Cricetulus griseus: one gene and its partner. Each later gene encodes a partner of the first gene's protein in a complex. Links are inferred from orthologs where the notes say so. Each region holds a gene or a part of one and is shown in the gene's direction. Other genes may lie near its edges.

Region 1 (3,747 bases):
ACAGTGGAGGGGAGTGTGTGTGTGTGTGTGTGTGTCTACTGGGGACATTCATGACTCATGGATACTGTACATACTCAGATCTGGCAACCCTTGCTGCTAGGTTTGTGGTCCATTTTCCCTTAGTACCTGTCTCTGGAAACTTCGGTATTGGCCACCAGACCTATCTTGTGTTTTGTTTTATTTTGAGACAGTCTCTGTAGCCCAGGCTGGCCTAGAAAGCACTATGTAGACCAGGCTGGCTGGGAATTCGTGGCTTTCTTCCCGCTTCAGCCTCTCAAGCGCCAGGACTACACGTGTGGGTACCATGCTTGGATCCAGGCCTCTCCTCATAAGAGAAGAGTATCACTGTTTAGCTACCTTTCCCATGCTGTGGGACTGGTCATAGGGAAAGAGCGAAGCTCCAGTGCCTTCTGGGAGTTGTAGTCCCATTTAAGAGTAGCCACTTACCGCATCTTCTTATCTGATGCCAAGGTTTCTAGCCAGCCAGAGGGCGTCCGGCCGAAACTTGGGGGCGCGGGGGGGCAATGAACAGAACAGGTTAGCGACTTCCATTCCGTAGGTGCTGGGAAAGTTCTACGAAAGGGATGCCACCCTGTGACGTCACGGAGGGACGGGCGGGGCCTGCTTTGTTGCAGTCCAATCAAGCTTAGAGTTGGATTCTGGGCGGGGCCAAAGACAGTCCTAAGAAATATTTCTAAGGGAATTAGGAATTAGGGTCCCCCATGTGGGATGTGGCCCAAGTGTTTTGTGAAGAGGGGGCGACCGGTTACTCTCGGAGCCAGTAGAAAAACCCTAAATTCTTCTCCCCAGTCTTCCAAGGAAAACTTAATCTTAGTCGTGAGAAAGTATCTGGGCGAAGCATTAGTGCTTGAGGGCACGAAGTTGAAGAGCGGCTGTTAAAGAGGTATTGGGGGCCTGAGAGGAGAGTGTCCTGAAAGTTAGGGAGAGTGGACAGGTACTCCAGAAACCGGGGGATGGCTTTGGAGGCATGTTGAAGTTTTTGTAGGACCTTCAGGTTAAAGGATTTAGGATATTTTTTATTCTGAAGACCTTTTTAGTTTGATAGTTTGCAAGTTGGCTATTTATTAGACAAATTATTTACTTATTTAATTAATTAATTGGTTTGGAGACAGTGTCTCAAATAGACCACGGTGGTCTTGACTTCCTCGGTGCCAATGCCCCGGCTTTTGATGGTTTATCTAGTTTTGACTATTGACTATCTAGTTTGCTGTGCCACGGGGTTTTCAGGACTTGAGCATCTGAATGTTGACCCAGGTTCAGAGTTATGAATTATATGAGTTTGGGGGAGTTGGGGGGTGAGCCCATGCGTTTGAAGTTTGAATGCAGAGAGCTTGGGGATGGTTTAATAGTTGCAGGAATGCAACGAAGACCATAAATTTTGAAGTCTCCTGGGCTGGGGTAGGGGGTCCGAATTCACATTCTGCGTCTTTAATTAATGATACCTCCTTTTTACTTGGAAATTTCCCAGAGACCTTCGTGTTGAGCTTTGGAGTGCTCTAAGACTGTTTTTTGGCTTCTGTTTAGCGTCCCCCCGCCCTCGTTTTGGGGTGAGAGGATCCTCTGGCGGTGCTGGCGAGCTGTGCGCTCTGGCCTCCATGGGGCCGCGTTTTACACTCTTGTTGGCCGCTCTGGCCGACTGCCTGTGTCTGGCGAGGCCCTGCATCATATGTGACCCGTTTGTAGTGGCTGCGCTAAAGACTTTGGAGCAGAGTTACCTGCCTGGCCACCTGGCACCCGAGCATCATCAAAACGTAATGAAGAGGGTAGAGCAGGCGGTGAAGGACTTCAAGGATCTGCCTTTGAATAAGGATACCTATGTGGGGGCCGTGGGTAAGGAGGGCAGGCCAGGATGAAGACCTCAGGGTCCTGGGAGAGGAAGGGCTGGGGCCAGAAGTGCTACTGAGTTTAAGAATGGAAATGTCGCTGGGCCTTAGTGGTCCATGCTCTTGCGTAGTGCATCTCTGTGAGTTTGAGGCCAGCCTGGTCTACATAGTGAGACCCTGTCTCGAAAAGGAAGAAGAAGAAAAAAGGAATGGAAAAGTCTTGGGATACAGAATCATGGAGTTCCCTCCTTATAGCTCACAATATTGGTTCTAGCAAGTTGTGTGGTAAAACTACAACTCCCATAAGGCAATGAGCGGTTACCTCTTACACCAGGCCTCTCTTTGCCCAATGGCCTCATGGGTATTGTAGTTTCTATGTGGTGACAAGCCAATGCGACAGAAAAGCTGGACTCTGGGGTTCTGTATCTGCCCTCCACACACAGATGAGGACACACTGGAACAGGCATCTTGGAGTTTTCTGAAGGATCTGAAACGTATCACGGACAGTGATGTAAAAGGTAAATGTACCACAGGATGAGGGCAGAACCTCTGAGGAACCGTGGCTGGTTTCTTAAAGCTTCAAGCCTCTGCTTGAGAGCCTTTCTGGTTCTGCCATTTCCTAGCCATGTGGCCTTGAGCCTAAGGCTGGGCAGCTTCCTCAGCCCTAATATGGAGACCACAATCGTCTCCCTTTCTCCGTGACTGTGAGGATCTGTTTCGTAGCCCTATGGCCCAGCTCTGTGTTCAGTGCTTAGTCTTATAGTTTTCCCCTGAAGGGCTAGAGTGTGGAATGCCAGTGAAGACACGTGGGGCATCCCTGTACTTAAAGCTACTCAAGAGGCTGAAGCAGGAGGATTGCTTAAACCCAGAGTTCCAGAATAGCTTGGGCAACGTAGTGCCATCCTGCCAAGCAAATAAGAAAGAGTGGTGGAGCTGGTGGTGGCGGCACACACCTTTAATCCCAGCACTGGGGAGGCAGAGGCTGTTAGATCTGAGTTTGAGGCCAGCATGGTCTACACAGCAAGTTCTAGGACAGTGGGGAATACATGGTGAGACTCGGAGAGGAGAGATAACTAAGAGGCAGATGTTGGGTATGCCGGTGCATGCTTGAAGGTGGAGACAGAAAGATCAGATGTTCAAGGTCGCTCTCAGCTACATGGTGAATCTGAGGCCACTTGGAGTAGAATCTGTGACATATGGGATGCTTTACTGCACCTCACAGTGAGTTTGGGGAGCACCATTCCTGGCTCTGCTTCTTCCTAGGAGAGCTCTTTGTAAAGGAATTATTCTGGATGCTCCGTCTGCAAAAGGACATCTTTGCCACCCTTGCTACGCGGTTCCAAAAAGAAGGTGAGGAAGATGAAAGTCCAGGGCCCAGCCATCAGCTTCCTTAACCCTCTCTTCCATCCATGTCCTCAAGAACACCTTCTCCAGGTCCTTTGCCTATGTGTCTAAAAGCTCCTAAATCTCAGATCTCTGCTCCGCATCCACTCCCATTAATTTAGAAGGAAATATCCTCTAGAGCTTGGTAGCAAAACCTGTAATGCCAGCACTTGGGAGGCTGAGATGGGTGGATTGCCAGATTTGTGGCAACCTTGGGCTACGTGCTGAGATGCTGACTGATAGAACGTTTAATCACAGGACTTGATGGGTAGTAGCAAGAGATGAAATGTCCAAGGTCATCCTCATTGATGTAAAGTTTGAGACCAGCCTGGGTTATACCAGACTCCTTTCTGAAAACAAAAACAAATGTGATTTTCTTTCTCTTTCCCTCCCCCCTTTCCCCCTTCGGAGGCAGTTTTTTGTCCCAACCAATGTGGTGAGTCCAGTATGCATAATCTGTTTCTCTTGCCCCCACAAGCCTCCCCCCAGGATTGGTGATTGTTACTCTCCTCCATTTGCG
Region 2 (3,747 bases), on another chromosome or scaffold:
TCCTCAGTGGAGTCTGGGTCTCCGATCCCTAGGATGTCTGAGGTGCTCAACTCAGGCTAGACTGCCTATCTCTAAGGCAGGTTTCCACTAGGCCTAGGGGACAGAGGATCTGTGAGGCCCTGGGTGGTAAAGACTGAATGGTGAATTCCTAAAGCAGGGTGCCCCTTTGCTTTGGCAGAGGGGGATCTCTCTGTCCACTCCCTACCCCCACCTCATACATTGCCAGTACAACCCAGAAGAGAACTGGAATTGCAATGTAACAGACACCAAGGTACAGGCCAGCTTTCATGTACCTGTGCTAGGGTGAGGGCTTAGAGGATAAGGCACCTCAAAACCTCATTCCTGAAGGGTCCCCAGCTCTGAGAGGCCATCAGGGGGCCCATCCTGATGCTTAGGGTGGCTTTGAGATAAACTGGGGCTGGTTGAAGTGGGATACTACTCTAAGGAAATGACTTTAGTTGGACAGACAGGGTGGGGACAAGCTACTCTGAGGAGCTGTGGGCCTGGTGTGGACCCTCCTGGGGACTAGAAAGAAGGTTGGTACTCGATGGCTAAGGCTTGATTGGCCACCCCACCCCACCATGTCCTTTGGCCACAAGGAGAATCTGCTTTCTGAGAATTGGTTACTTGGTCAAGAGGCTGGCTGTGGGCTGGGACCAAAGCTCTAAACTCCTAGACTATGCATTACTGAGTTAGCAAAGCTGTGTCTAAGTGTAGAAGGACTTGGTACCATTCCCTACCTGCCCTCCTCTTCAGAGCTGTTGTTTTCTTTTCTCTCCTCTTGTTGCTTGGTTTGGTTTCTGCATCTCTGCAACGGCTGGTAGTGGGGTGTCTACCTGCCTTGACACTCTCTGATGCTGCTCTACACAGAAGGTTCTAGAGCAGCCAAAGTGTTCCAGCAACCTGAGGGAGCCTTGGAGCCCCGACTCCATCTTTAGTGCCTGATGTGTGCAGGGATTAAGGTGGGTGTCTTCTATCACAGGATCTTCTCTGAAGCAGGTCATGGCACAGTGGTGGCAGATACTCTTGGGATTGTGGACAGTCATGTCCACTGTGACAGGAGACAAGCCAGTCAACATCTGCATGAATGCCAAGCACCACAAGCGAGAGCCTGGCCCAGAAGACAAGCTCTTCTTGGAGGTACAGGGACCAGAGCTGGCCCAGGGGCTAAGGTAGCTTCTTAGAATTATTAGAGAAGGATACAGGCAAGGAGGCCCCTGGACCCCATCAGCCCTGATCATTTAGTTCCTTAGTTTGGGTTTCTTCATCCAGGATTTGGCCCCTTAGCTGATCTGGCCACCTGGGAAACAGGCTATGTGGTGATCTCGGAGGCCCTGTTGGCTAATCATGGGTCAGTGCAAGCCTTCCTGACAACATGCACTGGCTAGACATAGGACTCAATTTGATTCCTTCTCAGTCTGCTAAAGGCAATTACAGAGCTATGGGAGGAGGAACATTTCAACTCTAAGTTGCTCCTACCCATCATCATAACCTCGGACTCCTGAAGCTCCCTGGGACTTCTTTCTATTTGCTTTCCTGGATTTATTGCCTCCCTGGAGCTGACATCAGGAAACTATGTTCTGTGGCAGAAAGACAAAGGGGAGGGGACCAGGGGTCAGGTGTTTCCCATTCTTCAGATACATGTTGACAGACACCAAGGTCCCTCCTCTACAGAGGTGCTCAATGTGTCCTCTCTTCTGACACCCTTCTGCCCAAGATCCTCAACCCTAGCCTCTTTCTCCCTCCACCTTCAGTGCGTCCCCTGGAAGGACAATGCCTGCTGCACATTCACCACGAGCTGGGAAGCCCACCTGGATGAGCTCCTGTTCTTTAACTTCAGCATGTTGCACTGTGGACTGCTGACCCCGGTCTGTCATAAGCACTTCATCCAGGCCGTCTGCCTTCACGAGTGTTCCCCTAACCTGGGGCCTTGGATCCAGCTGGTGAGGAGACAGGAGGCAAATCCCTGCAACAGCCTTCCATTAATCAAAGGCTGGCATCTCCAGGAGGCCAGCAGGAATAGGGAGATGGCTGTCCCTCTAGGGATAAGAGCAGAGCCAGAGCCCTGGGAAAGGATGAAGAGGGAGCTAGCTGCCTCTGTCCCTGAAGGACAGCATGGGGACACTGTCTGATGCGGGCGGCAGGATGAAGGGTGGAATGAGGTGCATCTGAGTGAATTCCATCTCCTACTTACAAACTGTGTAGCCCGGGACAAATAGCCACTCACTTCATAGTTCTCATTTATCTAATAGTAATAATAATAATAATAATAACAACAACAACAACCTACGGCTGGGAAATGGCTCAGTCATTAAGCACTTGCCACACAAGCATGAGCACCCGAGGTATGGAGGTGAACTGTTATAATCTCAGCCCTAGGGAGCAGAGACAGATGGATTCCTGGGGCTTGCTAGCCAGCCAGCCTACCCTGCTCAGTGAGCTCTGGGCCAGTGAGAAACTCTCTCTAAACCAACATGGATGGTGCCTGAATAACAACACTTGAGGTTGTCCTCCAGCCTACACACGCACATTCACTTACAGAATGTACACACGTGCACACACACAGAAAGAATAGTACTCAGGGACCTTTATAAAGGATTGGGTATCTTCCTCTCTCTCATCTGCACCCAGGTGGTCCCAAACAGGCAGGAAGAGCAGGTTCAGGGCGTGCCCCTGTGCCTGGAGGATTGTGAGGAATGGTGGGAAGATTGCCGCTCATCCTACACTTGCAAATCCAACTGGCATAGCAGCTTCCACTCCAGTCAAGGTGAGTGCACTGACTGGGTTCTCGGGGGCTGTTTACCTGGGTGAGGACACAAACCTTCTTATGTCCCCCCACAATGATGGGGGCATGGAAGGGATGGGACAATGGGAAATGAGGACACCATCGTCGACCCCCACAGAGAAGAACCACTGCCCAGCACAGGCGCCCTGCCGCCCTTTCCCAGATTACTTCCCCACCCCCAGTGATCTGTGTGAGAAGATTTGGAGCAACACATTCAAGGCCAGCCCTGAACACAGGAATAGTGGACGGTGTCTACAGAAGTGGTTTGAGCCCACTCAGGGCAACCCCAATGTGGAAGTGGCCCTCCACTTTGCCAACTCTGCCTCAGCCTGGAAGCTTTCTTACACCCTTACATCCTTCTCTCTGTATCTGCTGCTCCATTCCTGAGGGTCCCTCTCCCACCCACATTCCCTGATTCTTCTGAGCCATGGCCATTTCCATCCTCAGGCTATTCAGGGTGGGAGCAGGCTGGTGCCAGAACTTCCCATGCCACCCAGGGTCCCCTCTACTGCTTGACCCTGCCTCCACTAGCCTGGTACCCAACTGGTACCTAGCAGTCTAAGGTGACTTGTTATTCCTGCCATTAGGAATGGGCATTACTATAGGACTCCAGGCACTTGTTATCATGTGATACCCATCTTTTTTGTGTAACAGAGACAATGTTGAGAGCCAAGATACCTGCCCTATCATGGTACCTTCAATAAAATGATAGGGAAACTCTCCTCTCCATGTGCCGCTCTGTTCTAGTCCTATGGGTACCAACCTAAGACATATAAAGAGGGAGCTGATTTGTCCTCATTAAGATTTTAATTTCATTGACTACTAATGAGGATGAGAATTTTCAATATTAATTGGCCATTTGGAATGTGGCTGTCTCACACTGTGTGTGTATGTGTGTGCACGTGTGCACGTGCACATGTGTGTGCTCATACCTTTCCTCCCTCCCCCTGCCCCGTTTCTTC

The links.
Region 2: the proteins of Izumo1 (region 1) and Izumo1r are in contact, whole or in part, in a crystal structure (PDB 5JKC), measured with the Homo sapiens proteins. The link is inferred for Cricetulus griseus from reciprocal best matches to the Homo sapiens genes IZUMO1 and IZUMO1R. Residues at the interface, in NP_872381.2 of Homo sapiens: Met75, Val77, Tyr134, Val141, Leu146, Trp148, Lys150, Asn151, Lys153, Glu155, Val156, His157, Ala158, Arg160, Lys161, Ser162, Tyr163, Asn239, Ser240, Ser241, Pro242, Ile245; in NP_001186135.1 of Homo sapiens: Lys42, Tyr44, Glu45, Ile48, Leu58, Trp62, His65, Leu66, Asp67, Gly80, Leu81, Leu82, Met83, Pro84, Gly85, Arg87, Ile91, Met145, Ser146, Tyr147, Gln171.

What each region holds. Positions count from the first base shown.
Region 1 is NC_048599.1:154,523,645-154,527,391, forward strand, and holds the start of Izumo1 (izumo sperm-egg fusion protein 1), read left to right. Parts: upstream 1-1,556; 5' UTR 1,557-1,616; coding exon 1,617-1,851; intron 1,852-2,206; exon of another isoform or gene 2,207-2,235; coding exon of another isoform or gene 2,236-2,287; coding exon 2,288-2,362; intron 2,363-3,107; coding exon 3,108-3,194; intron 3,195-3,642; coding exon 3,643-3,663; intron 3,664-3,747. UniProt on the Homo sapiens protein: Essential sperm cell-surface protein required for fertilization by acting as a ligand for IZUMO1R/JUNO receptor on egg.
Region 2 is NC_048597.1:128,422,409-128,426,155, reverse strand, and holds Izumo1r (sperm-egg fusion protein Juno), read left to right. Parts: upstream 1-1,002; coding exon 1,003-1,140; intron 1,141-1,754; coding exon 1,755-2,009; intron 2,010-2,631; coding exon 2,632-2,767; intron 2,768-2,903; coding exon 2,904-3,172; 3' UTR 3,173-3,387; downstream 3,388-3,747. UniProt on the Homo sapiens protein: Receptor for IZUMO1 present at the cell surface of oocytes (oolemma), which is essential for species-specific gamete recognition and fertilization.